Linked DNA regions of Notamacropus eugenii. The protein of the gene in region 3 purifies or fractionates together with the protein of the main gene of each other region. This does not show direct contact. Links are inferred from orthologs where the notes say so. Each region holds a gene or a part of one and is shown on either strand. Other genes may lie near its edges.

Region 1 (8,110 bases), on a different chromosome or scaffold from region 3:
GAGAAATCATGGGACCGACTAGAGTCAGTCTTAGTATGTGAATCCTGGTTGTCCTATCCTGAGGTCAGCTGTCCTGGGAGGGGTAAGATGGAAACATCCTGGGACAAGGGAGAGGTCCAGGGCAGGGACAAGAAAAGCCTCTGTAGAACTTGCTATGTGCCGAAGAACTTTGCATAAATGTCTCATCTGATTCTCATGGGGGGGGTGGGTGCTGTTATCACTCCCATTTTACAGGTGAAGAAACTGAGGCAAAACAGAGGTAAAGTGACTTGCCTAGGGTCACAGTTAGGAAGATACCTGAGGCTAAATTTGAACTCGGATTTTCCTCTGTACCAAGCACTAAGTGCTTGAGCCAGGATTCAAACCAAGCACTCAGATCCCAAATCCAGGACGCTTCCCACTATTCTATGATGTCTCTTGTAAGAGCTGGACCAGATAATTCCAGGGATTACATGAATCTAGGAATATATGTCCTCATCGAAGTTTCCAGAATGGGCTGCCTGACTGAGGCCCAGGGGTCTAGTTCCTTGAGATCTCCCCTATGAGCTCAGTCTGGAACTGCCTCAACTTTTCTACTTTGGGCTTCTGGGGGAACCTCTCAGTCCCCTGGGATTCAGAGGATAAATCGAAGGTCCATGGCCAAGCCAGGGCCTTGAGATAAAATGGATGATCTCACTTGTTCCCCTCCTCCACAGTTTTGGGAACAGCAGACAGCTCCATCCCAGCCCTTCTCCTATCCATGAGAACAGTCTGCTAGGCAAGACCAGCCTCGCCTGTCCTCTGGCCCTCCAAACTGGAAGAACCCTCAGAACCTCCACTCCAGAGACCTAAGGTCCCTCAGAATAACAGCTGCTCACGTTTATATAGTACTCGAAGGTCTTACAGAATGTGAGAGAACTGAAAAGGGACCTCTGAGATCACCCTGTCCTCTCTTAAACACTTAGTTGCTATTGACCTGCTTGTCGCTTATCACACTAAGTTCCCTTTAGAACAGGCTTTTGTTCATCTTTGTGATCCCTAACAGTGGGCACTGAACAGCTGCTGACTGAATTTAGTTCACCCCCCCCACCCTTCCCCCCCCATTTCACAAGAGGTTCCTCCCACCTCCCTCAGTCAAGATATCTCCTCCCCTTGAGAATGCAATCTAGGCCCATCCATGAGACTTCCTTATTCTTCATCTCTCCCCCCCTCCCCCTCCAATGTTCTCTCCTCCCTTCTCCCCCTCCAATGTTCTCTCCTCCCTTCTCCCCTTCCAATGCTCTCTCCTCCCTTCTCCCCTTCCAATGCTCTCTCTTCTCCTTCCTTCCACTAGTGTCTCCCTCCTTCCCAAATCTAGTAACAGCTGACATCTAAAGCGTGTGAAAGCGCTTCACCTACATTTTCTCATTTGGTCCTCCCAACAACCCTGTGAGGTAGGTGCTATGGGCACTATGATCCCCGGTTCATAAATGATAAAAGTAAGGCTGAGGGAGATTAAGTGACTTGCCCAAGGTCACACTACAAAGAGTCAGACAAAATGTGCTCTCTTGCCCTCCCCACTGATAGCTACAAAAATGTCCTTCCCTTTCCCCTTCCAGGATAGTTTCCCTCCTCCCACAAGGGTCTCTAATGCTCCTTGCCCCAGCACCTCACCATTTCTTTCCCAGTCCTTAAATTCCCTACACCCCACCCCACCGGTTACCCCCACAACGCTCCTCCTCCACTGGGCTCTAGGACAGTCCAACAAGCTAAACAGTTCCTCCCTCCATCTCCCTCCGTCCTCAATCCCAATGTGTCCCATCAACCTCCCCAGCAGCACCTGCAGCCCCAGAGCTATCCCCACTCACCCTCTCTCCCATCCTCCTCCTACTCTGCCCAAAGTTTTCTGCCTAATGGTCTCTACCAGTCCAGGGTTTCCTTTCTGGCCCCCAAGCCTCTGTAACAGTCTCAAGATTCACACTTGCTCCTCATCCTCCCTGCTCCCCCTATTCTCCCCAGTGGTTTCTACCTCCTCAGAGGTCTCTTCTCCCCTCCCCTTCTCTCTACTCCCTAGGGTTCTCCCCCCCATTCTCCTCCATGGTCTTTACCTCCCTAGGTTTCTCTTCCCCCCCATTCTGCCCAATGGTCTCTACCTCCCCAAAGTCTCCCCCCCAATTTTCCCCAATGGTCTCTACCTTCCCAAGGTTCTCCTCTCCCCCCATTCTACTCCATGGTCTTTACCTCTGTAAGATTCTCTTCCCCCCTCAATTTTCCCCAATGGTCTCTACCACCCCAAGGTTCTCTTCTTCCCCCCCATTATCCCCAATGGTCTCTACCTCCCCAAGGTTCTCCCCCCCAATTTTTCCCAATGGTCTCTACCTTCCCAAGGTTCTCCTCTCTCCCCATTCTCCTCCATGGTCTCTACCTCCCCAGGGTTCTTCCCCCCCCCCATTCTCCCCAGTGGCCTCCCTCACCCTGGGGTTCTCCCCCACCCCCATGATCTGTCTTCAGGGTTCATACACCCCTCTTCCTTGCCCCCTTCCCCATGTTCTGTCCCCATGAAAGGCTCCACCTCCACGGTCCCTCTTCGGGGCTCACTCACGTTCCGGCCCCCCCCCCCCCCCGCGCACGATGGTCTCGCCCATCGCGCCCCTCTCTCTAGTTGTTTCTACCTGCCCAGGGTTCTAGCCTCCTCAGAGTGCCCACGCACACATACTACCCCAACCTCGCAGTGTACTGTCCCTGTCTCCCCCTACGCACGATGGTCTCGCCCATTGCTCCCCTCTTCCCAATGAGCAGCTCCTCCACAAGGTTCTGCGCCCCTGCCCCCACCCCATCATGGTTTCCTTTCCCCTGGGGGTCCGAGTCCTGCGGAGGCCGCCCTCCTCCCATCCTCTTCTATTCTCCCTCGTCGCCCCCTGTCCTCTTTTCCCTCTCTCTTCCTCCTTCCCCCTCACGCCGCCCTCGGCAGCGTCTCCTCCTCACAGCCGTCGCCATCTTCGGGCCGACTGCCGATGCCCCTTCTGCGCAAGCGTGGCCTCTGCGAGGCCCGCCGGGAAATGGAGTTTTCGGAAGGGTGCGCGCCCCCAAGGAGGAAGCAGAGGCAGTGAGAGGGCTAGGGACGCCGGGAAATGGAGTCCAGAGTAGCCTCCCCGCCCAGGGAGACTCGCCCCGATGCCCCAAGGCCGGAAGGAGACTCTACGAAAACAGAGCCATTGCACCGCGGAGCCCCGGAGGCGTCTCTGAGGATTGTGGGAATTGGAGTTCTCCGCGCTCCGTGGGTTCTCCGGAAGGAGGGCGCCGGGGAGGGAGAGATCCGGGGGGTGGCGCTCCTGCTCTCCTCGTGGTCGCAGAGAGCAGCGTGGAGCGGAATGGGAGGCGGAAGGGAGTGGAGTCTTCCGGGCCTGGGCCGGGCTGCGAGGCGGGACGCTGTCGCGGGTCCTGCACAGGCCGGGGCGCTGCGTCCAGCCGGATGACCCCCCAGGGCCGCTGGAGACCCCTTCCCTGCGCGCTCCAGCCCCCTCCGAGTCACGAGCGCCAGACGCCCTGCTTAGGCCTTGTCCATGGCCCGGGGTCCCCCCTTCCAGGAGAGCACTCGCTGGAGGCCACCACCTGCTGGCCAGCCTCTGCTGTTCCTGCCACCCCCAGTGATTTTCTGTTTTATCTCTCCCCGCCCCCAAGTTCTGTGAACACGGGTGCTGGGAGCGGGGGAAGCCCTGAGACCCAGCTGCTCCAGCGCCTCCTGGTGATACAGAGGAGGTGTTGCAGGGAGCAGGCAGCAGACGCAGTGTTGGAATCCAGGACCTGGGTACCAGGCTGCTTCCTGCGGGGGAGGGGGAGGGGAGGGAGCGAGCTTTACCAAGTGCCTGCTGTGTGCCCGCGGGCTCTGTGCTAAGTGCAGTGAGGCGTTGTGCTCTTAGCCCCGTTTTACAGTGGAAGAAACTGAGGCAGCCCGAGGAGACATGGTTTGCTAGGGTTCGGGGGGCTGGTGCGGGTCTGTGGCTGAATCTGAACCCAAGCCTTCCCCACTCCGGGTCCCATGCTCTCCGTATGCACGTCTCTGGTCTGGGCTGGCCAGCGAGGCCCGGCTGCCCCCAGTGAGGGGCTCCCCTCCCTCCTCCAGAGTCAGCGAAGCGCAGGGAGTCAAGAGTCCCCAGGACTGGGGAAAGCTGGGGAGGCCGTGCATGACCTCGGGGCCTTCCAGCCCCTGCTTCAGGAGCTGGACTTCATGGCCTTGGAACGGATGGTGCCCATCCACTCATTGCCTTGGGGAAGTCTTCACACCCCCTAACTCACCAGCCCCACGTAGATACAGAGAGAATGACGGTCTCTGCCCTCCAGAAGCTTCCATTCTAAGAGAGACCACCAGGGGACATTGGGAAGGTGTGGGTCCACGTCCCTCCTCACACGCTTCCTGGTGGGGTGACCTTTGACAAGTCCCCTAACCTCTCATCTTGAGTTTCCTCATCTGTAAAATGGGACCTATACCAAAGGGAGGCTAGAAGGATCAAATGAGAGAAAAGGGGCTTTGGGAAGCTCAGCTATTTCCCATGATTATGTGTTTGGAGGGAGATGAGGGATGGCACCCCCACCTTTGCAATCAGGAATACTGAGGTTCCAGTCTCTGACATATATACTAGCCTCATCACTAAAGGCAAGTGCTTAACCAGTCGGTGCCCAGGAAATACAAGAATAAAATTTACAGGTGAGTCATTCTGTATTAAGGACCAGGAGTTCTCTGCCTAGAGGAAGTCACTAGCCCAGACCCCAAAATATTCTTTGAGGATGGTGGGAGGGCAAACTTTGGGAAGGAGGAGCCAAGAAAAGCATTCTGTAGGAGGCCACCTAGCAGCTGAGCCTTGAAGGGAGAAGGGAAGGGGAATAATCATTTATTCAGCAACTACTGTATGCCCGGCACTCTGCTATGTACTTTACAAATATTTGAGTCTCCCAACAATCTTGCAAGGAAAGTGCTTTTGTTATTCTTATTTTACAGGTGAGACAATCAGAGGTGAAGTGACTTGCCTAGAGTCAGTAACTTAGGAATTTATGTAGGTGCAGAGGTAGTGTATTCTAGGCATGGCACACAGTGCACCAGGAACATGGCATACTCTGAGCAAAGACCCCAGAAGTGAGAGGGGAAAGAGCTAGGTGATTGTAACTGGAATGGAGTAATGTGAAAAAATATCTGGAAAGGTGGGTTGCAGTTAGATTGTGAATGTGCTGAGCTAAGGAGTGTGTTTTGCTTTCTTAGAAGTAAGAGAGAGCCATGGAAGATTCTTGAGTAGAGGAGGAGCCTAGGCAAATCTGTGCTTTAGGATTGTACCACTATGGAGGATGCATTAGAAGAGACTAATTATAAGGCCAATATGAAAGTCTCCCTTTGAGTTTCTGAGCCTGAGTCACTTTCTCAGCTCCATCCCCATCTCTGATCCTTTATTCCCATACCTGGATCCTGATTCTTTCCTCTGAGGCTGTATCCAGAAATTTACCAGACCACTACTGATCATGTCTTAAATTATTTTGACTCAAACCCATCTCAACCTCTGCTCCAGTGCCTGTCTAGGAACTCGACATCTCTGCCTCTGACTTCATGCTCCCAACTCTGATCCTCATCCTTGCTTCCAAGGACTAGTTTCCATAACTGAACCCCCATCCTCACTTCAGAGTCCCCATTCCCATATCTGGACTTTCATCTCTGTCTCTGAATTTCCATTGCTGTCTGTGATATCCCTGTTTCTGAGTCCCAACCCCCATCTCTGAATCTCTTACTGCAGACTCCCAATTTCTGGCACTGAAATTCCTATCTCTCTGCCCCCATCACCATATCTAAGATTCCACCCCATCCTCAAGTTTCCTCCTTTGTCTTCAAACCCTTGTTTCTGTCTCTGTGTCTGAGAACTCCTTCCTATCTCTGGATTTCTAGTTCTATGAACTCATGTCTGTGAGTTCTGAGCCCCGTCACTGACCCTAAGCCCACATCTCTGTCTCTGATGTCATATATCTGTCTCCAATTTCCTCATCTCTGTCTCTGAGTACCTATCCCAGTTTTTCCATGTAATTCAACATTTATAAGCACCCACTATGTCAGCACCTACTGTGCTAGGCACCAGGGACACAGTGACAAAAGTTAAACGATTCTCTCAAGTAGTTTGTGTTCTACTTGGGGTAAAGAGGAGTGATATACATACAAATAAGTAAAAGACACAAAGTCATTTCAAGAGGAAGAGAATGTTGATAACCAGAGAGATCAGGCACCTTATGTAGGAGGTAGCCCCTGAACTGTGACTTGAAGGAAACATGGGATTTCCAGTCACAGAGGACAGCTTTTGCAAAGGTATGGAGGTGGAAGATGGAATATGATGTATGGGACAAAAAAAAAAAATCTAATTTTGGAAAAAAAAATACTAGAAACACAAATGGAAGAAAACAGAAAATCTTTTATAACTTTAAATGTAGACAGACTAAACAATCCAATAAAATGAAAGAGTAACAGATTGGATAACAGAGCACCGCAATCTGTTGTTCATAAGAAACATGTCTAAAGCAAAGACATGCAGAATATGTAGAGGCTGAAACAAAGTTTACTATGAATTGGTGAATCCAAAAAGAAGGAGTTGCTCAGATAAAGGAAAAACAAAAATCCACAATATATATAGAGATAAAAAAGCAAGGTACATTATGCTATAGGAACCACAGACAACAAACCAACCTCAGTTTTAAACTGACATGTAGCAAATGGTATAGCATCTAACCTCACAAAGGAAAAGTTAACTAAATTGTAAGAAGATTTAGATAGTAACACAGCAATGGTGAGACCTTAAAGTCTCTGGTATTTGGATAAATATTACATAGAAAAATGAAAAAAATTTATAGAATTAAACAAATTTCCAGAAAAATTAAAGCCGAAAGATATGGCATCTTCTGAAAGTGACGGCTAAAGAAAATCCATATATCTCAACACCACAAGAAATTTGTACAAAAATTGACTATATTAAGGAAGTGTAATAGTGTAAATAAATGGGAAAAGATAGAAATAGTAAACACATCCTTTACAGATCATAGCACAATAAAAAATAATTATCAGTTTGGGAATCATGAACAATAGATACGGAATTCACTAGAGACATGATAATGAATGGGTGAGTCAAAGAAGAAATCAGAAAGAATAATGAGAAAAGCAATGCTAATGATGAAACAACATACAAAAATTTCTGCCATGCAACTAAATGAGTCTTCTGTGGAAAAATTATATCTTCAATAAACCATATTAACTTAAATATGGGAAACAGCTAGTGGCCCATTGACTGGAAAGGAGAATGAATGAAGGGACATAATATGAAATAATACTGCAAAGGTAGGTAGGAGACAGATTTTGAAGGGCAATGAATGCCAGGCTGAGGAGAACAAACGGGGATCGACTGAAGATTTCTGATTGAGAATTACATGGTCGGACCTATGTTTTAGTAATATCATTTTGGCATCTGTGTGGAGGATGAAAGAGAAACAAAAGAGAAGAAAAAGTTTAGAGGCAGGGAGACTAATTAGGAGGCCATTACAATAATCTATGCAAGAGGTATCGAAAGCCTGAAATGGGACAGAGGCTGTATGAGTGGAGAATATTTATAGTTCCTCGACTTGTCTTAAAAGTCCCTAGACTCATTGAATCAAATTAATCTCCACTTCCCAACTCTTACTGTCCACATTTAATCAGATACTTTGCCTTGCTGATTCCACCAACACAGTACATCTATCAGTCCTTATGAAGGCTCATGCCAGGAATGTATGCCATCCTGATTTCCATGTCTTAGAATCTATAGTTTCGTTCAATGTTCAACTCAAGTACCACCTCCTATATGAAGTCTCCTTTGACTTTGAATATAGCTTATATCCACTGGCAGGTTGAGGCCTCACAGGGAAGTGACTACCATTTCCCTCAAGGACCTAAGGATAATTCTGAAAAGTTGAAATTTCTAATATTGTGACTCCTGCAGTCCCACCAATATGCTCCCAGTTATCAATCAGTAAGCTAAAACTCCCATTAGCTTTTTAGGAAAGGGCATTTAGTAAGAAGGTATCAGAAAAGTAACTGGTATAAAATATTTCCCCTATAGTATTACATAGTACAGGTATAGTCTCCTTTGCATATCTG
Region 2 (7,471 bases), on a different chromosome or scaffold from region 3:
TGCAAAGAACTAACAAAGGAAAACAAGAGTTGTAGCTGTCATTCTTTTACACAAAAAAAGTCTTTTGAACAAATCTTAGCATTTAAATGAGAAGGTACAGAGAAAATTTAAAGAACTGAACATTTATGCAGTTCAGACAGCTACAACAGAAAATGGTAGAAAAAGCAGACCTGAACAGAGTCTTACCTACCAGGAGTCCTTTGTTCCTTCATAGATATGGATGACTGTTTTTGGACTAAAGAAACCCAGATGGGGACAAAAAGATATAAATGAAGGGGGGAAAGAATTAGTAGAGAAGGTATTCAAGGAGTTAAGCCTATTGGAAGAGTGGAGTTGTAATATTTCGAGTATAAATCAAGAGTCAGAGAATAGGCCAATAAGAAATAAAGAAAAGGGAAGTATGACATACCTCAGAAGCTGACTAGATGGCACTTGCTGCCAGGTATGAACCTAAGTCTTACTTAGATTGCAGATGCTGAAAAGGACGTACCTAATAATTTTCCTTCCTTATTTTTTCATATATTAAAAGCTACAAAGAACCCATGTAAGATTGCATGCCGTCTCAGGGAGGGAGGGAGAGAAAATTTAATACTTATGGAAGCGACTGTTGAAAACTGGAAACAAATTAATTTTTTAAAAAAGGTACAAATCTAAGAATACACCCAATGCAATGGATGTTATATGGATGCTCCAATATTAGACGAAAAGTCTCATTTGAAAAAAAATTTTTTTTGATACTGCCTACACGTGTTTTCTTTTTTGTACTTTTAAATGAATTTCTAAGTCAACGAGTAGTATTCACATGCTCCTTAAAAGAATTTTTTGTTTCCTCCAGAAGTGGTTAAAAATTAAAACACTGGTCAAAAAAAAAAAAAAAAAGCCCGGCGGTTTCAACATGCTTCTAATCGCATGATTATGCAATCTGGAAGACAAGACTGCTTCTACCTCTTGACTTCTTCAAGTAAATTTTGAGATCAACACTGCTGGAAGGGAAGCGCTGAAGCAGACAATTCTGATAAACCAGGCTGGGAGGGGATGGGGGAGGGAAGAAATGAGTAACTGACAGACAAGGGGATATTAAAAAAAAAAGCTCAGTGACGTCAGCTGTTCCTGTCCAGCACTACAAAGTGTCAGAAGGCAGAAAGCGGAGATCAAAATTTCTACAGATTTCTAAGTCCTTCTAGAGTACAGTCAAGCTCAAAGCCAGATAAATCCCCCGAATTCCAACCCCACCTAAACCCGACGATTTGTCGGCTGGAGAGAATGTCTTCCAGGAAAATAAACACGCGTGGCGAAGGGCTGGGTGGCTACAGCTCCGGGGCAGATCCGAAGGGCAGGGGGCGCGCTTTCTTTTCCCCGGGTGGGACGCACACCACTAACACCCCGGGGCTGCCACACGACGGCCCTCCCTCGTCCCACGCCCCCGAGCCACGCCGCCCCGTTCCGAGGAAAGTGAGAAAGTGCTTTCTCCGGGTCGGGGTCACTCCCTTCCCCACGCCCTGGAAGCGTGGAGAGTAGTCGGCCAGGAGCGGGAGGAAGAGCAGGCACCGAGACCCTGGGGGTTGGTCCGTGACCACTCCCTCCCCAGCTCTGTCGCCTAGGAAACCAGGACCCCCTCCCCCACCTCGACTCCGACCCGGTCCGGGCTGGGACAGGGAAGCAGAGCCCAGCGGCTCTCGGCCGGCCCGACTCCTCGCCCCGGCCCCGGAGCCTACCGAATAGAGGGGTGCTGGGGTGGCGACCGTGGAGGTAGAGGTGGAAGCGACGGCGACAAAGCATTCGGATGATCGAGCCGCTGCCATGGTCCCGCTGCAGCCCTCCGGGACACACCGGGGCTTGCCAGCTAAGCGGGAAGGGTGGCGCTGACAGCGGCTGACCCGCGCTCGGCGGCCCGACCTCGCCTGGGGCGGCGGCACCCGCGGCAGACGCTCTTAGAGGCCCCGGGCGCCGCCATCTTGGCCCGGACGGAAGCCGCGATGAGCCAAAGCGCGAGCCCAGGCCCGGCCCCGGAAACGCGGAAGTCGGCGGGGTCTCATTATTAATTGCTCAGGACCAAAAGCTTTGGGTCGTAGCTGTGAAAGGTACTTGTTTGACACCCCCCTTCCCTTTTTCTCCCCTCGCCGTACACCCCGTAATGGCCGCGGAGGACAAGCCGGGACCGGATGACTGTTCCAGCGCTGAGACTCTCCTGGATACATTGTTGCACAACCTCTACGACTTCGGTGAGAGCGAGGAGCTGGGCCGGCACCCACGTGGGTTGCTGGAGGGGCGCGGCGGGGTGTTTTACTGGTGTACTTTCTTAGGGCGTGCGGCACTGGCTCCTTTCCGCCAGGGGCAGCTCCTTCCAGTCCTACGTGTAGAGCTGGGCCCCGGCAGGAGTGCTTTAGAGGACACCCAGTGACCCTTCCCCACCTGCCGGAGCCTCTGTATCCCCGGGCGAGGCCGGGGGCGTGGGCTGTTTCACACCTGCCGGGTGCTTGATGTACTTTCCCACGAACTGACCTAGAAACGGGAGGCCGGCCCCCTGCTGTCACCCCATCCTCCCACTGGGTAGTCGTGGGGTTTACTTTTCCCAGAACAGCTCCCTGCGCATCACCCCATCCACTGCCCAGCACACTGGGTAGTAGTGGCTTTTACTTCTCCTTCCTCCAGCACCACCTGACCTCCGCCACCCTTCCTTCCCCACTCCCTGATTGAGAAGTGGTGAGTTCTAGTTCTCCCTGGAAAGAGCCTCCCCCAACCCAGCGTCCTTCCACTTCTGTTGACCCATTGAGCTGGAACCAACCTGTTCTGTGTGCCATTGCTGCTGTCCCTTAGACGCTGTGGGCAGCGGGGAACTTGGGGATACAGTTGCCAAGGTCACAGTCTTCTCCATACCTTCCTCTGCCGCTCCAACAAAAAAAAAGGACCTTTGAAAACCTGCTTGGCCCGGGTTACCTGACTGTCTCTCGTCTTCACCGTCTGTAGCCCTGTCTGATTCAGCTCCGGTGCCCAGGAGAAAGAGTAGCTCTTTGTCGTGCTGGAGCGAGCGCAGGGCTGAGAAGCCTGCGGTGTCCGGACCCGGAGCTTCCCAGGAGCGCTGGAGAGCTGGGACAGAGCAGACTAAGAGCTTCCTAAGCTCGACTTGTCACTGCCTCTTAAGTTCCTAGCCAAGATAAACTGCGGAAGGTCTTCCGCAATCGCAGTGGGCATGTTATTAAATGGTTGGAATATAATTTTGTACCTGGCACTTCAGGGAAGGTAGCACCACCCTTCTTTAGCCAATGATGGTTAGGAGGGAGGGAGGGGGAGATCGAGGGAGGGGAAAACCCTCTTGTGCGTACCGCGGACGGTACTCATTCACAGCAATCCTTTTTTGTGTGTAGATGCAAGCACATTTTCAAAACTGGTTAAAATGTTGGAAATGCTCTTTTCTTTTGAAAATAGTTTTGTTTTGAGACTGGGTAGACCAGGCTATTAGGCTACTGTGTGTGTGTGTGTGTGTGTGTGTGTATGAATGAGTGTCTATATGTGTATATATGATTGTGTATATATATATGTATTATACATATGTGTGTGTTGTAATTATGTAAAAAGTCAATAGTATTTATTGAGGACCTGTTACAAGGAGAGCACTCTGTCCTGGGGATTTGGGGGAAGGAGGGAGAGGGCAGTTACAAATGAAGCAGAAGACTGGAGGTTGAAGAATTTTAAGAAGGTCAAAGTCTAATAGAGAAAACTATGTATTATAATATTATAAATGCCTGTAATACTGTACATTACAAAATATGCAAACATGGGGTGGGAACTATCACTCAGCAAGTATTTGGAGAGTTAGGCAGTAGTGGGAGTGCTAAACAATCAGGGAACTGGGTGTTTTAAATGCATGAGTACTAGGTAAATCTAGAGGCCCACAAATCAGAAGAAGCTTCTGATTATGAGGTAGGGAAGAGGGAGGCCCTTGGGGGACTAACAGATTTGCTCAGGTTAAACCAAGAACATGATTGTAATTTGGGAAAATAGGACGTTAAAGTGTTTTTACCAGTGCCTCAGGTTTAGTTTAGTTGTTAAATTTTTGCATGCAGAAGATCAGGAGTGAGATTATAGTATACATATTATAATATAATTATAATAAATCTCATAATGCAAAAAAGGTTTTTGAACAAAAAGAACCATTTTCTGATATTACTGTCAGCTTTTAGTCCGCCATGCAAGCAGAAAAGTGAGGCAATGGTGTCTCACAATGGTATCTGGATTTCTGGATCAAGGCTTAAAATAGAGAAATGACAGGCCCAGAGGGATGAATGAACACCTAACAAAAACAAGTAGAAATGTATTTCTTGGAGTTTTAGAAATATGACCAAAAACACTTTAAAATGAAAAGGGAGAGTTAGAAAGTTGCCTATAAGAGAAGATGTACAATGAAGTCTCAGAAGTGGAAAAGACCAGAAATTTACAGAAAACAAAACTCAGGAAAATGTCAGAAAGAAAGCTCATAGCTTCAGGTCTTCAAATGCACAAAGTGTGGGCAATAAGCAAGATGTTTTAATAGACATATACAGAAGATGAAAGCAAAGATAGGTAACAGAGAATGAATACTAGAGTGTGATATGGTCCTGAAAGAATAACGCTTTTTTTTGGCTTATCCTAACATGGTGGTGAAGGCATAGGAATGACCTCCTTACCATGCCCACCACGTCCATTTCAGGATCACGAGGTTTCTTGCAAAGAAGCAGAAGCAAAATTATTTCATTCTTTAATGGAGTTGCAGGAAGACAGGCAGGTGCAACTCCAAGATAAAGATCAGATATAACTCCAAGAAGAAACATTGTGGAAGGACCAAACTAGTTTATAAAAACTATCAACATGATGAAATACTTAGTCTGTACCAACTCCAAACACCATACCATAACACCACTCCTGACAAGAAGTAAATGCCACTACCCTCCCATTTTGGAAGCTGTCTGAGAAAGTGCAGCTACCAAAACAAAACAACAGATTTATTTTGGAAGAGGTTATTCTTGTCCTTTTGTTTTCACGTTTCAACATGTTTTCACATGTTGATTGGTTTAGTCATAAATATATTTGTGGGGCACCTAGGTTTAGTGTACCTTTTCTGGATTCAGGAAGACTCATTTTCTTCAGTTCAAATCTGAACTCAGATACTTACTAGCTGTGTGACCCTGGACAAGTCACTTAACTGTTTACCTCAACTTTCACATTTGTAAAATGAGCTAGAGAAGGAAATGGCAAATCATTCCAGTGTCTTTGCCAAGAAAACTCCAAATGGGGTCACAGAGAGTCGGACATGATTGAAAAATGACTGTACAAAAATATGCACAAAATTTTGCATCACTGTTTTTATATATTATATATGTATAATTATATATTTGCCTGTAAGAAGCAGAGTACATAATAAATAAGGTGCTTGGAGTCAAGAAGACCTCAAATTCTGCCTCAAACAATGTATATGACCCTGAGCAAGTGACTTGACCTCTCTGAATCTGTTTCCTCCTATGTAAAATGGAGATAATGATAGCAACTTCTTTACAGACTTGTTGTGGGAAATTAAATGAAATAATGGCTAGTGCGGGTTAATTTATAAGCCTTCAGTGTTAGATAAACTTGACCCATTGCAACCAGATTATATGTGGCCTCTTCCATGCTAATCAAAGCTAGTGATGATGTATATTAAAGGAAGGCCTTACGTTGTTTCTAGTTTTTTTTTTCTGCTAGGGAAAATGATCTTGGGACTGGAAAGAACAGAAAATGGCTAACAGGGAGTTGAATAGGAAAAGTAGTAGCCTTAGACGATGAGTTCATGCTACCAGGCCCACATGAACTAAATCTTCATTTTAATATTCCTGTTAGATATAATTGTTGAGTCAAATGTTCTTTCAAAGATCCTTGAGAATGTAGAGGTCTGGGGAAGGGCAAATGTTGTCCTGACCTCTAACTAAGGGAAGAAAATCAATTCTAAAAACTGTAAGCCGGGGAGCTTGACGTATAGAACATATTTTTTTTTTTCTTTTTTTAGACTTGTGATTTCAAGGTAGAGAGAGCTCCTATGAGGAAACTTCCTCCCCCAAGGCAGATGATCAGTAACTCTTCTCCAATTTACAGACTTAGAAAATTGCCTGGGTTCTGGAAAGGTTATGCAAATATCACAGGTTACACAGCCCAAATGGAACATATTATTAAAGGGATAATTGGTTAATGTCTAGAAAAGGAAGCAGTGATCACCGAAGGTTGTTCTAGACCACAACTAACTCAGATAAGTATCGATTCACGCTTAGGAATGCAGTGTTATAAGATATTCATGGATCAAAAAAAACCAATAAAAATGTCTTTACTGAGAAGATTTAAAATATATATGTAATTTATATATATAATATAATATATAATATATAATATACACTTATATATATATATATATATATATATATATATATATATATATATATATATATATATATATGGTCCCTAATTAAAATAAAATACTACTCCTCTGCTTCAGTATTCACCACAGCAAGTGGTAACACTCTCAGGAAGTCATACCTTGCAGGACAATATAAATTCTGTTTAAAGCTCTAGAACATTTTGATCAGTAAAAGATGCATGGAATATTTCTTCATTTATACCTTTGTAAGGTTTTTATGCCCAAATATATACTCATTTTTAAAAATAATAGTGCCATATACTGCTGAGAAATAGATATACTCCTTTCTTTTGCCATTCAGTATTTTCCAGGAGTCTAGTAACCTAATTTTTCTAAAATTCTATTCTGGTCCTTTATTTCTTTTTGGTTTTGTTTTTGTTTTAAATTAGACTTATCTAAGTCTGAGAGGGGGTAAATTAAGGTCCCTCACTATTATGGTTTTACTGTTTATTTCTACATATAATTCATTTAACTTTTCCTTTAAAATCACTTTTAGGTGTTTTTTAAAATTTAAAAAGCTTGTAGGAATTCTTGTTGGACCTTTGTTCAAAATGTATTTTTCTCCGAGGCTTTGTTTATAGATGTTTTTGAGTCATCTTTTTTCTTTTGGGTTTGTGTTTTGAAATTTCTTATCACCATAATAAGTCATTATGGATTTTTTTTGTTAGTTTATCCTTCTATCTTCTTGACTTCAGACTTTCTGTTACTTCTGAACTCTGTATACTCTGGGGAGGAATGTCTTGCCTGAGCTTCTTTCCTCTTATGTCCCTTTGCTGCTTTTGCAGAACCAAAACCAAAACCCCCAAACTCAATACCATAAATTTAGGAATTAGTAAGGGCTTCTTGAGTTCACCAGCAAAGGAGCCACCCATATGAGTGGAGACTCCCTGAATGAACAAAAGGACTAAGCTTATATAAGTCTCGATTTAGGCAGGAGGTGAATTGGGTTTGGGATTGAAAAACGTTGTTGCTGGGCAACTTGTGGAGTAGAAATAGGGGATGTGGTGCTGTGGACAGTTCCGTTGTTCAGGCTGATAAAAGGAAAGACTCTTC
Region 3 (8,493 bases):
AAATTCAACTATTCAACTTGGAAATCCTCTAGTTCAACACTCAGAGCCAGGATTTAAACCCAAATCCTACACCTAAAGCTAGATGACATAAAGTCTGAATCCTAGCTTTGCCACTTACTGTCTTTGATGCTGTGCAAGTCATTCCCCTTCTCTGAGCTTTAGTTTCCTCATCTATAAAATGGGGCTTGAGAGGCAGATTAGCAGAGTGGACAGAATGCTGGGCTCTCATTCAGGAAGATCTGGGTTCAGCTTCTGACTGGCACATGCTAGCTGTGTTACGCTGGGCGAGTCTTAGTTTCTCAGTGTCCCTAAGCAATTCTTTAGCTATTTAGAGAATTTAAAGAGAAGTAAAGGAATGGAATTCTTTCTCTACATTAAAGAAATCACAAATTTGAACCAAAAAAAATTAAATAAACAAGAGTTATAATCTCTGCCAATTACTCCTATCAAGACAGTTGTGAAGGGAGCCTTCTGTTAACTCCAAAGTGCATGAAACATGAAAGTCCCAGCAGTCCCTCCCATTCCTCTAACGATGTCCATACATTCCCCTTACTTCTCTTTGCTGTTTCCATTTCCTGTGTAAGCTCTGAGGATCCTTATCCCAATTCCCCCTCTCACTGAAAGGTTTCCCCAAAACATGGCTACCTGTTCCTCCTCAGGGCTCTAGGGGTATCCAATTCCAAATCCTCTGACATTCTGAAGTTCCCCAGCTCCTTCCTTGGTGAGGGAGGAGGGAGAGAAGGAGAGAAGAAAGACTACTTTTCTTCCCCACCCCTACTAGTTTCTCCAAGTAATTCTTTCTCTGAGGTAACTATTCTCTTTTCTAATCTGTCAGGCACTTGAATACTAGGTTCTTAATTGGCTTGTTATTTTTATAGAAAACCCAAAGAACCTGACCAAGTTTCTTCAGTACGTCACAACACATTTCATGTTCCATCTAGCTGAACTGCATCGATAAATTGATTGATCGAATGGTTCGTATTTTTGGTTGATTTGATTGAGAAATCTGGTGAGCTCTCACCCTAGTATGTATACTAGGCCATCAGAGGAAACAATTAGCTCTAAATGAAACTGTTGTTTTGAATCCGTCTCTTACAGAGGCTATAGAAACTGTTACTGCCTTTTTAAGAGCATAAGAAGTTAAATGGAACTCTGACAGTATGGTTTTTTGCGGGAGGGGGGGGGGAGGGGGGGGCGGGGACCATGGATTGAAAAAGTCAATTCAGATGTGAAGTACCTCTCCTTAGAGTCAGGAAGAAAGTGCTGAGTGTTTGGTTTGGTTTGGTTTGTGTGTGCAATCCATATGGATCTATGAAATATCAGCTGAGAGAGGTCTGACTGTGTATTTTTTTTCCCTATGGAGTTAGGGAGGTAGTGGGTGTTTCATCGGTGATCCACAACGATCTAGAAAGGAAGGAGGAAGGGAATTAGCATTTACTTAGTGCCTACTATATCTCATCTGATACTCACTGCCACCCTAGGAGGTAAATGCTAATAAAATTATCCTCACTTTACAGTTGAAGAAATTGAGGCAGACAAAAGTTAAGGCTAGAAAGAGATGTTGGGGCCAGGCTGTGAAAGGCTTTATAAACTAACTAAACAGGGAAGTTTACATTTTATCCTAGGGGCAATAGGAAGCCACTGGAATTGATTGAGTAGGAGAGTCACAAGGTCAGATCTGCCCATCTGGAAAATTACTTTAGCAGCAGTTCAGGGGACGGACTGAAATGGAGAAAAACCTGAGTCAGGGAGACCAATTCCGAGGCTGTCATAATAATCTAGGTTGAAGGGGATGAGTGCATGATGTAAGGTAACAGCCTGGCACTGACTGAATATGTGGGGTGAGGGAGAGGGAGGTGTCCGGCATGATGCTGAGGTCACCCACTTGGGAGACTAGAAGGACATCTGTGTTTTTGACAGAAATAGGGAAGTTTAGAAGAGGGGGGAGGGTTTCAGGGAGAGATAATGAGTTCAGTTTTGGACACATTGGGTCAGAAAAGTCTCCTGAATATTCAGTTTGCAGCTGGAGATGCTGAACTGGAGAAGTCAAAGGAAAAAACTCATATCAGGACAGTATGTGAGTCATCTCTGTAGAGGTGATAGTTAAACCCATGGGAGTTGATGAGTTACCAAGAGAAAAATTACAAAGGGAAGAAAGAAGAGCCTGTGATGGAACCCTGGGGAACCCCAATCATTGAGAAGCTTGATCTGAATAAAGATTCAGCATAGGAGCCTGAGAAGGTTGGCCAAACAGGTAGGAGGAGAACCAGGAAGACATAATGTAATGAAAACTTAGGTGAGAGTAATCAGGAGAGGGTAGTCTACGGTGTCAAATGAGTAAGGAGGATGATAGGTGATGAGAAAACTCCATTAGATTTGGCAAATATGAAATTATTAGTGAAGTCAGAAAGGAGAGTCTCAGTTAAGTGATGAGGTATGAAATCAAACTCCCAAGGGTTGAGGAAGGGAGAAGAGGTAGTGTAGACACATCTTTCTAGAGTTTGGCTGAAAAAGTGAGGAGAGATGTAGCTGGTAGCTTGAGAATATGGTAAGGTCTAGTGAGAATTTTTTAAGGATGGCAGAAATTTGAATACATTTGAAGACAGTAAGGAAGAAATAAACAGATAGGAAAAGGTTAAAAATTTGAGAGGGGGGGAGAAGGACTGAAAATGCATCCTGCTGGAGAAGACAGGAGGGGACAGGGTCAAGTGCATATTTAGAGGGGTTGACCTTGTCAAGGAGAAAGACTACCTCTTTGTCTATTTCATTAAATAACAAACAGGGCAGCTAAGTGGTGCAGTGGATAAAGCAGGAGTCAGGAGGACCTGAGTTCAAATCTCACCTCAGATACTTGACATTCACTAGCTGTATGACCTTGGGCAAGTCACTTAACCCCAAATTGCCTCATCCTGGGTCATCTCCAGTCATCCTGATGAATATCTGGTCACTGAATTCAAATGATTCTGGAGGAGAAGTGAGACTGGTGACTTGCACAGCCCTCCCTCACTCAAAACAAAGTCAAGTGCAAATCATGTCATTATTTCTCCGATGGCATGGTCTTCTTCTGCAACAAAGGATAAATGCAAATAACAAACATTTTAGTTATTTAATTTTTTATTTAACTTATTTAATTTCATTTCAGAAACATAGGAGATGATGTCAACAGGTTTTGAGAGGAAGAGAATGGGAGAAGAGAGAACTCATGTTAAATGGCCTTAATTTTCTCAATAAATTAAGAGGCCAGAGTCTTAGTTTTGAGGTTGAAGAGCAGAAGGAGATCTGGGAGGATTGAGGAAGGAGGAGATTGGTTCTGTCGTTAATGAGAGAGGGAATCAATTAGAGAGGAATGAAAAGATTGCCTTGTTTCAGAGAAGGCTCTGTTGAGATTGCAGGACATGAATTAATATTGTGCCCTGTCAGCACAGTTTTGAGACTTCTTGCAATTCATTTAGCAGCTTTGGAAGAAGAAAGGAAAGAGAAGGAGAAGGAAGAGAAGGAAGAGAAGGAAGAAGGGGAGGAAAGAAGATGAGGTTTGGCAAGGGAGGACCAGGAACAGAACTAGGAGATGAAGGATATTCAGATCCTGCCTCAGACACTTACTAGCTGTGTGATCCTGGGCAAGTCACCTAATCCTGACTGCCTCAAAAAAAAACCAACCCTAAAACAGAGAACTGTGTAGAGGTGAAATGTCTAATTGTTAAGTTGAGAATGGAGAAGGAGAAAAGTATTCATGATGGAGGATATAGAAGTCTTGATGAAGTTCAAGAACAGTTGAAGCAGAGGGAGATAGGAAGAAAGGGGGATTCATGAACAGTCAAGCAAAGGAGAGAAGATTTATTAGCAGGGTAACCATGAGGAAACACACAACCTCTCTGGGTCTCAGTTTCTTCATCTTTTTGTTAACTCTACTCAGTTTCCAAGCACTTGTTCTACTCATGATTGCCTGTGTAAAAAGCAGTGGCTTGTTTCATTTTTTAAGTTATTTGATTTAGTTTCAGAAACAGTGGTATGACTGACAACATCTGTAAACAGAGGGACAAAATGATCATCTTGCAGATTTTTCTCTGGAGAAAAAGAAAGTCCGTTAGCTTTGCTTTGTCTAGCAAAAGATTTCCTCTAGGCTGATGTTGCACCTGAAGAGCACACAGGTGACCCTGGACTTGCCTTGCTGATGCCAGGCTAAAAGAGGAGAGAACAGATGCCAATTCAGTTCGAGCCAACAATCATTAAGGGCTCCCTGTGGATCATCTTGGATATATGAGGGTTGTGTATGTGTTCCTCCTTCGCTTTCGAAGACCATGACATCAGGGAAATGATGACTTGACTTGCACTTGACTTTGTTTTGAGCGAGGGAGGGTGGATCCATGAGGGACTCGCTAGCTCAATGAACCTATGAGCTCTGCCACGCAGGGATACCCAGGACGGAGAGGTCATAGCGGAGAGTTTTGGCAATGGCAATCCACTCCTGTAGCTTTTCCAAGAAAACCCCAAGGAGAGGACCAGACAGGGGTGCTGTGGTCCACGCTGTCACGACTGAACAACAAACGGAAAGACAGGACGCCGAGCTGCGTGTAAACAAAGACTGAGCCATGGGTGAGTGTGGTGCAGAGATAGGGCAGGATTTGGAGACGAGAGTCCTGGGTTCGAATGCTGACCTTGCCACTCACTAGCTCTCTGACCTTGGGCTACTCATTCACCCACGCCACGCCTCAGTTCCTTCGTTTGCAAAATAAGGGACTTGAGCTAGATGACCTCTAAATTCTTCTTTAGATCTCTGATTCAGAGGTGAGATCTGAAGGGCTTTAGAAACGAAAGGAAGGTGAAATAAGTGGAGGGTAGCTCAGTTTACTTTGCGGGAGGCCCTAAGCGTGCACAAGCTCACATCTTCTGACCTACAAAGAGCACTCCTCCCGGCCCCGCCCGTGGGCGGGCCCTTCGTCACTTCCCTCTCTCCCTTTCCCACAGGCCCCGCCCAGTCTTCGGAGTCGCGGGCCTACTGGAAGGTGATTGGTTGTTAGAGGCCCGCGGGGAGGGGGAATGCAGGGGTGGGGACGGGGCTACGGGCGCGAGCCCGACGGCGTTCGCGTACCCGGGCTGCGCCTCTCCTTTTCTTCCGTCACCGCGTTGTGCGCGTGCGCTCCCGAGCCTCTCTTCCGCGGGCTCTTATAGCGGCGGCCGGAGCCCTACGCGGATCCAGTGACCGAGCGAGCTACCGAGCCAAGGCGCGGGTCGGCCGCTCGAAGACTTCGGGACCGCGACGCCGCGACATGGGGGCCCCGCTGCTGTGGCTGCTGGCGGCAGTGCTGCTGTGCGCTCGGGCCGCCTCCGGAACCGGTGAGTGGGGCTGGGGCCGCTGGAGGCCCCCGCGGCCCGGGCCCGGGGACCGTTGGGGGTGAGGGGACCCAGGGTGTGCCCGGGGTGGAGGGGTGAGCCATGCGGGCTGAGGAAATGAGGCTCTGGGGGCCCCGCGGGAGGGACACAGGCTGGAGGATTGAAGTTCAAAGGATTGGGGGGGTCGCGGGTTAGGGGCCTCTGAGGTTCAAGGGGTCCCGACGGGAGAGGGGTGCAGACTGGGGGCCTGGGGTCCAAGGGGTCCTGGAGGGGGAGGGGTGCAGACTGGGGGCCTGGGGTCCAAGGGGTCCTGGAGGGGGAGGGGTGCAGACTGGGGGCCTGGAGTTATAGGAGTCCTGGAGGGGGAGGGGTGCAGACTGGGGGCCTGGGGTCCAAGGGGTCCTGGAGGGGGAGGGGTGCAGACTGGGGGCCTGGGGTTCAAGGGGTCCTGGAGGGGGAGGGGTGCAGACTGGGGGCCTGGGGTTCAAAGGGTCCCGGGAAGGGTAGTAGAGGAGCGCAAAAACTAGAGACTTGAGACCCCGAACGCTCGGGAGTGAAGGGCCCCCAACTTGGGGACAGGTAGGGGGAGATGAAGCCTCAAGGTTGAAACGCTGGAGGGGACCTGGTGGGGGAGCTATGACTGAGAAGAGTTGGGGTCCTGGGGGGTCAGGAGGGGGCCTTGTATGGGGGAGGCATGTGAGGCGGGAAGGGTCAGGGACCTCGGGGGGAGCAGCCTCGTGGGGGTCTCGGAGGGGAGAAGGGAAGGATTCTGCCTGGCGCCTGGCTGGTGGGGGTGGAGATGGAAATGAAGTGTGACCCTGTGTCTAGAGGAATGGGGGCGGGGCTTTGGGCCTGCGGAGATGGGGCCTCCCCCGGGTGGGGGACTTTGGGGTTTAGGTAAGGTTGGGGAAACTGTGTTTGAGGACCGAGGCTCCAGGCTCTTAGGGAAGGATGTCTGACTCACAGCCCGTTTAGCAACTCGAGTCTCTGTCACTCCAGGGCTCTTTATATTTTCAACCCCCACAAATGGGGTCTGTTTGTACTCAATTTAGGCCAGAGCTATCTAGCCTTCATGTGACATAGGGTGGGAAATGTTTATGTAAAGGAAGATATCTTTTCCTCCTCTGTTTAGTTCTGGATTAAAGCAATTACAGGCAATAAAAATTTTAGCTACAACGGTTTTGTGGGCTTGATGTTCTGAATTCTGGTGAGAAATTCAGCTTGACTGCCATTTACTGGGGGAAGAGTTTTGCGAAAGGTGAAATAGACTTCATTGTAAGGAATTTTTCCCCCTCTGAAAAGACATAATTTATTTTGTTATGAATGATGGCTAATAATAGGATATATGTGTTGTGCACCCACATGGAAGAGAGAGAAGATTTGGAGTACAGCTATGACCCTTGAGGGTTTTTTCATGAAGTCCTTTTTGGACAACAACTATAAACTGCAAGTATTACTGTCCCTATTTTACAGATGAAGAAAATGTTCCCAAGATGGGGAGCAGTTTGCTCAAGGTCATAGCTAGTAAATGTTGGAACTGGAAAATTTCTGCCTTCCATTTAAATGTTCTTACCATAACACTATACTGAAATTTCTGTATCTCTAGCTATTTTCATTTTAATATTCTCATTATTACTGTGTTTCTGATTTTTTCCCCACTCTGCTCCTTTTCTCTTTTTCATAATTAAAAACTATTTCAATGCTCCCTGCACTAGACACTTGTGAAGAAAGACGAGATCAACAAAAACGTTGAACCTTTATTCCCCTTTATATTGTAGCCCTGGGAAGAAAGAAAAGCTAGAAGAAAAGAAAAAATAGAAGTTTTGCTCTTGTACTGAATTAATTCACTTTTAACTTGTCTTTAGGTCATGCTATTTTTGCCACATGGGTTTGTCTTCAATTAAATTTTATTTTTTCATTTATCAAGCATTTATTCTCCCCTCCCCCATTTCTTCAAGAAAAAGTTTTTATAACCTTGTAACAAGTGAACATAGTCAAGTGAAACAAATTATCCATACTGTCCAGATTTTAAAAATGTGTCTTATTCTGCATATTAGTCCGTCCCATCTCTCTGTCAGGAGGTGGGTAACATTCTTCATGATTGGTTCTCTGGAGTCATGGTAAATCACTGTCTTGAATAGAGTTCTTAAATCTTTCAAAATTGTCTCATGTATAATAATGATGTTATATAGTATAAATTGTTCTCCTAGTTCTTCCCACTTCACTCTACATCACTTCATATGAGTCTTTGAAGGTTTTTCCAAAACTATCTCTTCATTTCTTACAGCCCAGCAGTGTGCCATTATGTGAACATAATAATTTATTCAGCCATTCCCCAGTTGGTGGCCACTCCTGAATTTCCAGCTTTTTGCCACTACCAAAAACTGCTGTAAATATTTCCTATTTCTTTAGTTTCTTTAAATGACTCATTTTGTGCCATAGACAAGTTTGGTTGCATACTCAGGAAAAAGCAAAATAATTATTATTCCATTAGGATATTTTTCTCCCTGTGATTTGGTTCATCTGCTTTCTATTCTTCTCCTCACCTAAGGGAAAATTGACATTTAGTCCACTTAATTTGGGGGGAGAGAGGAAGGAGAGCTGTTCTCTTGCTGTAGTCAGATTGCTTGAATCAGTTTGATTTTTCTTGTAGTAGTTGAGATACCAAAGAAGAAGATTTCTTGACCCAGATTATACATCTTGGCTTTGTTTGTTCGTTTCTTGCCCTAATCTTGGAATGTAGCCAACTCCTAGTTTTCTTTAGGTGAATTATCTGCCTTATCTACAAAGAACTATAGAGTAAAAACCTAGAGGGGATCTTAGATGTCATTTTTGTCCAAACAGACCCCCTTGCTGGCTATTCTCGTGGCTTTAGTTGCCAGGTTCTTCCACATGGTTTCACATCTCTCATTCCTTTCTGCCATGGGAGCTCCAGAATGGGGTTGCTAATAAAGGTTATTTTTAAAGCTTTCTTTATCCTCATATCTGTCTCCCTTACTATAGTAGTAGTGGATTATCTAGGAAGGAGCCCAGTATTGTATCTGAAAGCTGCAGGGTGTGTGCTACGGGGCAGCTGAAGATGTAGAGGTTGTCCTGTCCTCCCCACCTGTTGTGGGATGTCTCAGTTAAACTTTGCTTACAGGCCAAGCTCTCTGGGCTCTT
Region 4 (7,363 bases), on a different chromosome or scaffold from region 3:
AGAGCACCCAAAGCATTTGAAGGGTGCATCTTACAGACACCTTTCATATTGTTCTCTGCAGCATCATAGTTCTATGTGTATATATGCACACATATATAAATACATACATACATACACACACACACACACACAGAGTGGGGCAGGAGTGATAAGGCAGAGGTCTGAGAGCCTCCTCCAGGTGTGACAGAGGATCCTGGGGAAGTCCTTTCTTTTTGTCTTGAAAATGAATAAAAGGGCACTGGCACAACTTGGGCAAATAAGTTGCCCGGTGAGTATTTCTCAAATAAAGGAAGACTCTAATCAGACATCATCTTTCCCTTCCTTAGAATCTTAGAATGAAGGGCAGGAAGGAAAATGGTTTGGGGCATAAGTTCAAGAGAGGGAAACAGAATACAGAACCTATACACAGGAGGCCCTAAATGAATGTATTTTCAATGAAAAAACCCAGATCTCCATTATTGTTTTCTCTGGCATCTAACTGGTATAATTTAAGATGGAGTAATGAGTCCACAAAAATGAGCAAACAACATAGATGGATATATCATTACAGAATGTGATGTGTGCTGAGGACATAAAGAGATGCTCAAAGCCCTATTAGCACAGTCTAGAGTGGAGGGAGAATTCTATTGGGAAGGAACCAGCAAGGGCTGCAGGAGAGGGTAGTCAAACCACTTCATTTCCTTCCCCTCAGTTCCCTCATCTGTAAAAGGTTGGAACCTTAGGGATTAGCCAGGCTACCACCTCACTTTGTAGGGATGAGGACAGTGAGCCCGAGGAGTTTAGGGCCCAAGGAGATGGTGGATCCAGGTTTCAGACCTGGGTTACAGAGCTCTGTGGCAGACATAACCCACAGTTTAAGAAGCACTGAAGGGGTCATGAGTGAAAAAAGTTTAAGAAGCTCCGGACTATGTATAATGTTCTGGCCTAGAGAAATGCCCTAGGAAAACCCCTCTTGTGCTCCACAGCCTTTAGTCCCCAAACGCAGTGCCACATTGCCTCCATCACTGTTGTGCAAACAGAAAACTTGGCTGCCCCTAGGGAGATCCGCGCCATGCGGCTGGCCTACAGCCTGTTCTTGCAACTGTGTTCCACATGCTATCACTTAACTTGGCTTGTCTCTCCAGTCACCCCAGCCACACCCAGTGCCTTTGCCTCAGTGGGCCAGATAGGTCAGCCCTTGCATAAGCAGGGCTCCTGGCCACTCCAGGAGGGACTCAGCTGGTAGCAAGCCCAGGCCAGGCCCCTCCTCTACTATCTAGTCCCTCCACCAGCTCAATCCCCTTCTCCACTCCTCTAACCACACCCTAAGCCCCAGGGTGGGGGTGGGGGTGGTGGGAGTGGAGAAAGAGCTGAGTTCTGACCTGCAAATCCCCACCCACAGCCTCCAGCCCAAGGAGGAGCCAGAGGGAGGGAAGAGACTTCATCCCACGGAGGCCTGCCACAGCTGTACAGTAGACCCAAATCAGCTAGATCTGGCCTGGCTGTCCCATAGGAATAGGAGATAACCACTGCCCCGGGCTCAGCTGAGGCTAGCGACACTGACACCCAACCAAGTCATTTTTCTCCTTCCCCTGTGCCTCACAGAATCACACCTGGAGAACTCCTGACCTCTGCCCCAGGAGGGCCCCTATTTAATCCTCTCTAAGCCTGTCATCACCAGAGGCAAGATTCCCCAAACCTAGTGCTTTCGCCCCTTCCTCTCTGGCTTGGGAGCCATGTGTGGATTCAGATTCCATCTCTAACACTTGTGTGTGTGTTTGTCATTCTTTGCTGAAGAAGATCATATCATCAGAGAAATGATGACATGACGTGCACTTGACTTTGTTTTGAGTGAGAGAGGGCTGTGCAGGTCACCTGCCTCACTTCTCCTCCAGAGCCATCTGAATCCAGCGACCAGATGACTGGAGATGACCTAGGATGAGGCAATTGGGGTTAAGTGACTTGCCCAAGGTCACACAGCTAGTGAGTGTGAAGTGTCTGAGGTGAGATATGAACTCAGGTCCTCCTGACTCCTGCACTGCTCTATCCACTGCACCATGTAGCTGCCCCTTCTCTAACACTTACATCCAGCCTTAGTCACTTATTAGATCCAGTGCTGATGTGAGAAGGCAGGGCAGTCTGGGTATTTCAAGGCATTGTGGTAATGGACATTCTGCTCTGTTACACACACACACACACACACACACACACACACACACACACACACACACACACACACACACACACCCAAATAGGGTCACAAAGAGTCAGAAATGACTGAAAACAACTAACCAACAAAGAAAAACAACATATATCACTATGGGTTGGGGAGAGAGTCTTATCTAAAATATGATGAAAAGTGTTTAATAACATAATGCTGCCCCTTCCCCTCTCAAGGTCTCAGTTTCCTCATTTGGGAAAGGAAGGGTTTGGAATAAATGACTCTGAAGGTCTCTTCCAGTTCTATCTCTGATTATCAAGAGTTAAACCGATGGGGACACTGAAGCTGAGAACTACAGTTCACAGGTGGGGATGATGGTTGAGGTTCTGAGATGCCCAGTCTCAATCCGACTCCTCCCCACCCTGCCCCAATTCTTCAACTGCATCCTCTCCTGCTTAAGACATTTCAACAGCTTTGAATTGAAGGTATAATAATGAATAAGAATACCTTACATACTTACAGTGGATTTATCATTTTCAAAGCACTTTCTTACAGATGATCTGATTTGAGCCTCACAATGAATTTGTGAGGTAGGCTGGGCAGATAGTATCCTTATTTGACAAATTAAGAAACTGAGATTCAGAAATGAAGTAAATTGCCCAAGGTCACAAAGCAGAATGAGCAATACAGCTGAAGTCCTTTGGCTTTTTTTTCCAGGGCATTCTGACTTCCAGAAAGGGTAGAATGGGAAAAAACACTGGGTTTGGAACTGAATGAGAATTCTTCCTTTGTGACAACTCTGTGGGTCTCAGATTCTTCACCTGTAAAATGAGGGAGCTGGACTGAGTGACTAGCCATTGGCCTGCTCTAGTCCTTTTATCTAAGATCTTTCATTAGTCATGGGAAAATTGTCTTATATTTGTGGGCATCAGTTTTCTCAGTTACGATATGGGGGAGAAACCTTCATAGCATACTGTTGTGGTTTGTCCTTCATTCTCAAAGAGGACCATGACATCAGGGAGATGATAACATGACTTGCATTGAATTGGATTTGAGGGAGGGCAGGCTGGGCAAAGTCACCAGCCTTACTTTCTTCTCCAGAGCCATCTGGGTCCAGTGGCCAGATATCCAATCAGGATGACCTGAGATGGCCCAGCTTAGCATGCTGAATTCAGAGTGAAGGACCTGGGTTGGAACCTCTGGTTCAGCAACTATGAGGTAGAATTTGAACTCAGACCTTCTATTACTTACTACCTACCAGTGTGATCCCTAGGTTAGTCATTTCATTTCTCTGGGCTTCAATTTTTTCCTCTGGAAAAACCAGGGGGTTAAAGAACACTAGGTGATCTCTAAAGTTACTTCCAGCTCTAACTTTTTTTTTATCATAAGCATTCTTCTTTCCTCCACAAGGATGTATTAATAACAATTTTTTTTTTGTTTTTCTGTTGTTGTCCAGTTGTTTTCAGTTGTGTCCGACTCTTCATGACACCATTTTGTGGTTTTTGTGGCAGAGATACTGGAGTGGTTTGCATTTCCTTCTCCAGTTCAATTGATAGAAGAGAAAACTGAGACAAATAGAGTTAAGTGACTTACCCAGGGTGACACAGCTAGTAAGTGTCTGAGACCAGATTTGAACTCAGAAAGATGGGTCTTCCTGACTCCAGGTCTGGCGCTCTATGCCCAGTGCTGCCACTAATAGTACAAACTATTTAGTGCTTTTAAGGAACACAAAGCACTTTGCATATACTAACTCATTTTATGCTGGGAGGGAGGTAGTAGTATTATCTTGGCTTTATAGATAAGGAAACTGAGGCACATAACCTGAGGCTGGTTAAAAGACTTAGCCAAGTTCACCCAACTAGGAAGTATAAGAGGCAGGTTTGAACTCAGGTCTTTCTTGAAGATAATAAAATGGAGATGGGAAAATGTCATGTAAACTCCAGCTGAGCTGATGGACACTAACACTCTAGAGAATGAGTCAAGGTTTGCAGGGGTAAAGATTCCATTTAACCAGCACTTTTTAAAACCTCCATTGAGCTCATTACAATCTACAAAGCCTTTTCACAACCTTTATCTCATGTGATCCTCACCACAACCTTTGGAAGGAGGTGGTCACAGGTATTATTATCCTCATTTTACAGATGAGGCCCAGAGAGTTGAAATGTTTCACTCAAGGTCTGATATATGGTAAGGATTAAACATGAACTAGAACCCAGGTTTTTTGACCCTTAGTCTAGTGCTTCTTCTCTCTTAATCAGTGAATCAACCAATCAACAAGCATTTATTAAGTGCTTACTATGTGCCAGGTAATTTCAATCACTGCGGGACCCAAAGAGAGGAAAAAACAAGCCCTGCTTAGAAGAAGCTGACCTTCTAATGGGAGAGAGGATATGTAAATAATCCAGAACATACAAGATATATAACAGAGCTGGTGGAAGTTCATCTCAAAGAGGAAGGTTCTGGAAGCTGGTAGAATGAATAAGACCTCCTGCAGAAGACTGTCTTGGAGCTAAGTCTTGAAAGATACAAGAGATTCTAAGAGGTAGAAGTGAGGATGAGTATTTCAGGAAGGGATGCCATAGTTGGAAATGTTTGGGTTCATATATGAATAATGAACATTTTACTCTAAAAAGGAAACTTTTAAAGTATTTGCCTCAATCACATTTGTCCTCTCGAGATTCTCAAGGAAAATGGAGGTAGAGGATGTAGAAAGAATATTGAGATTGAAGGCAGAAGGTCTTTATTCTAATACTACCACTGTCACTTTTCAAGTGTGATCTTGGGAAAGTAAATTTCAAATCTCACTACCTTTCCTAACTGGAGAATGGGAATTATACTTCTTACTCTGTAATCTCCTTACAAAGTTGTTGACAGGAAATCATTTTGTAAAAAAACATAACACAAGCTATGAATTATAATCTGTAAAATGAGATCATAAACACAATTACTGACAAACATAAAGAATATAAGCTCCCAATGGTTTTTAAAAACATTCGTTATTTTTTAAAAAATTTGATTGGTAGAACAAAATGTCCCCTTAAAAAGGCTGACTACTAAAAGGGTCTCCCATCTTTATGTTAAGCTCACGTAAGACTCCTTAGTAGATGTAACCACAGAGATAGTTTTATTCAACAGTCATCTGAGTATCCATAGGGAGCCAGGGACACAACAGGGAGGTGATTGCTCACTGAGGTATTTGTCACTTTCATGGAAGACAAGGATAGGAGGTCCTGGGTAGAATCCAAATGAAAAAATAATTCTCTAAAGATGGTAAATTTGGCCATATAATGAGAAGATGGAACCCATTGGAAAACACCCTGGTGTTGGGAAAGAATGAAAGCAAAAGGAAAAGGGGATGGCAGAAGATAAGATGGATGGATAGTGTCACGGAAACAACAAACGTGAACTTGGACAGACTTCAAGAGATAGCAGAGGAGAGAACAACTTGGTATGCTATGGTCCATGGGGTGACTGAGGAGTAAGACACAACTGCATGACTGAACAACAAAAAAGATGGTGAGTTCTTCCTGGCATTATTGGAAGACAATGTACTGAGAACCTCAAGTTCCAGAATAGGGCAAGGCTTCTTCCATGAGATCCATAACCACTAAAGTCTAACAATCTATAAGGAAAAAAACATTTAGATGAAGAGTGTCTATTGTCAAGTCAGCAAGTATTTATTGAGCACCTACAGTATGCCAGGCACTATGTTAAGCACTGGAGATATAAAGAAAGACCAAAAAAATGATCGCTGGCCTCAAGGAGCTCACAGTCTTAATAGAAGAGACAACATTCAAACAGCTACATTCAAGTAAGATATACAGATATGTATGTATAGATAGATTTAGATATCCACATACCTATATCTTGATAGATACATATATATGCCTTCCCTCTGAGATTATTTCCAATTTCTTCTGTATAGATATAAATATATAGCTATCCATATCTATTTATCTGCCTACCTACCTACCTATCTACCTACCTATCTATCTATCTATCTATCTATCTATCTATCTATCTATCTATCTATCTATCTATCTACCTATCTATCTATCTGTCTATTTATCTATCCATCCATCCATCCATCCATCCATCCATCCATCCATCCATCCATCCATCTATCCATCTATAGGATAAATTAGAGATACTCTCAGAAGGAAAGCCTTAACATTAAGATAGATCAGGAAAATCTTCCTGTAGATGGTGGGATTTTTTGCTGAGACTTGAAGGAAACCAGGGAAGCCAGAAGGCAGAGGTGAGAAGGGAGAGCATCATGTGTATGGGACACAGTCCATGAAAATGCCCAGACTTGAGAGATGGAGTGTCTTGTGAGAGGAACAGTAAGGAAATTGTCCTGATTATGACACACTGCTGGGAAGTTCACTGATTTAAACTATCACTACACATATTCTGGACAGGTTCTGCAAGTGGACAATGAGCCAGGGTCCAAATCGAACATGTGGGAGGGAAATGGCCAACAGCATTGGGGAAATCAGTTTTGATGAACCCAAATTATATCCTTATGTGTAAGCTCATTAAAAAAAAAACCACATTACTATCCTTCCAACTCTCTTTCTTCCACAAAGGGCTTAAAGGTCAACCATGCTGAGATGGAGTTGGGGTGCTATATGATTGTGAATCATATACTCTACAGTCTCAGGAGAGTCACAGTTGTGCATGGCACAAAGGGCAATGGGGAGATAGAGGATGGAAGCTGACTCCAGTTTATTACCAAAGATGACTTTTGTGTGATAAGTAGCATGGAAGACACCAACCAAAAAAACATTGTGCCCAAAAAAGGACGTAGATTGGTCATGTAGTAAAAGCAGAGAAGAGATGGACAGAGTCCCATTGGTACCCATGTAATATTATCAGTCATGTAGCGAAAGCAAAAGATAACAGATGGACAGACTGAGGGCTACACTGGTCCCCAGGTGATGTTATTAGTCATGTAGTGAAAGCCAAAGATAACAGATGGACAGATTGAATGCCACACCAGTACCTTTAATGTGAAAAGACCTAGGGGAGATCTCTAGTAAACTGAGTGAAATCTTTATAAAGGCTTTATGGAGACAAGAGCAGAACATGATTCGATGGCTTATATGGACTTCTATGGAAAGTGTCCCCATTAGTGAGATCATATAGTAAAATGAGAGCTTTCTACAAAGAATTCACAAACCTTCACTGTTTTTAAAATTAATATTATTCCCATGTGACAGT

What was found.
Region 1: the proteins of BSG (region 3) and SYMPK purify together in Homo sapiens (co-immunoprecipitation; 3 studies listed by BioGRID and IntAct, counting the BioPlex papers as one, with this or other methods). This does not show direct contact. The link is inferred for Notamacropus eugenii from reciprocal best matches to the Homo sapiens genes BSG and SYMPK.
Region 2: the proteins of BSG (region 3) and GNPAT purify together in Homo sapiens (affinity purification with mass spectrometry; 3 studies listed by BioGRID and IntAct, counting the BioPlex papers as one, with this or other methods). This does not show direct contact. The link is inferred for Notamacropus eugenii from reciprocal best matches to the Homo sapiens genes BSG and GNPAT.
Region 4: the proteins of BSG (region 3) and ATP2B4 purify together in Homo sapiens (affinity purification with mass spectrometry; 3 studies listed by BioGRID and IntAct, counting the BioPlex papers as one, with this or other methods). This does not show direct contact. The link is inferred for Notamacropus eugenii from reciprocal best matches to the Homo sapiens genes BSG and ATP2B4.

The regions. Positions count from the first base shown.
Region 1 is NC_092876.1:27,829,661-27,837,770, forward strand, and holds the start of SYMPK (symplekin), read right to left. Parts: upstream 3,050-8,110; 5' UTR 2,956-3,049; coding exon 2,944-2,955; intron 317-2,943; exon of another isoform or gene 298-316; intron 1-297. UniProt on the Homo sapiens protein: Scaffold protein that functions as a component of a multimolecular complex involved in histone mRNA 3'-end processing. Specific component of the tight junction (TJ) plaque, but might not be an exclusively junctional component. May have a house-keeping rule.
Region 2 is NC_092873.1:386,515,626-386,523,096, forward strand, and holds the start of GNPAT (dihydroxyacetone phosphate acyltransferase), read right to left. Parts: upstream 3,156-7,471; 5' UTR 2,876-3,155; coding exon 2,786-2,875; intron 2,223-2,785; coding exon of another isoform or gene 2,135-2,222; exon of another isoform or gene 1,803-2,134; coding exon of another isoform or gene 1,716-1,802; intron 1-1,715. Other genes in the region: FSAF1 (40S small subunit processome assembly factor 1), read left to right, coding at 2,135-2,222. UniProt on the Homo sapiens protein: Dihydroxyacetonephosphate acyltransferase catalyzing the first step in the biosynthesis of plasmalogens, a subset of phospholipids that differ from other glycerolipids by having an alkyl chain attached through a vinyl ether linkage at the sn-1 position of the glycerol backbone, and which unique physical properties have an impact on various aspects of cell signaling and membrane biology.
Region 3 is NC_092875.1:69,278,399-69,286,891, forward strand, and holds the start of BSG (basigin), read left to right. Parts: upstream 1-5,150; 5' UTR 5,151-5,267; coding exon 5,268-5,334; intron 5,335-8,493.
Region 4 is NC_092873.1:436,292,280-436,299,642, forward strand, and holds the start of ATP2B4 (plasma membrane calcium-transporting ATPase 4), read right to left. Parts: upstream 3,326-7,363; 5' UTR 2,661-3,325; intron 1-2,660. UniProt on the Homo sapiens protein: Calcium/calmodulin-regulated and magnesium-dependent enzyme that catalyzes the hydrolysis of ATP coupled with the transport of calcium out of the cell. By regulating sperm cell calcium homeostasis, may play a role in sperm motility.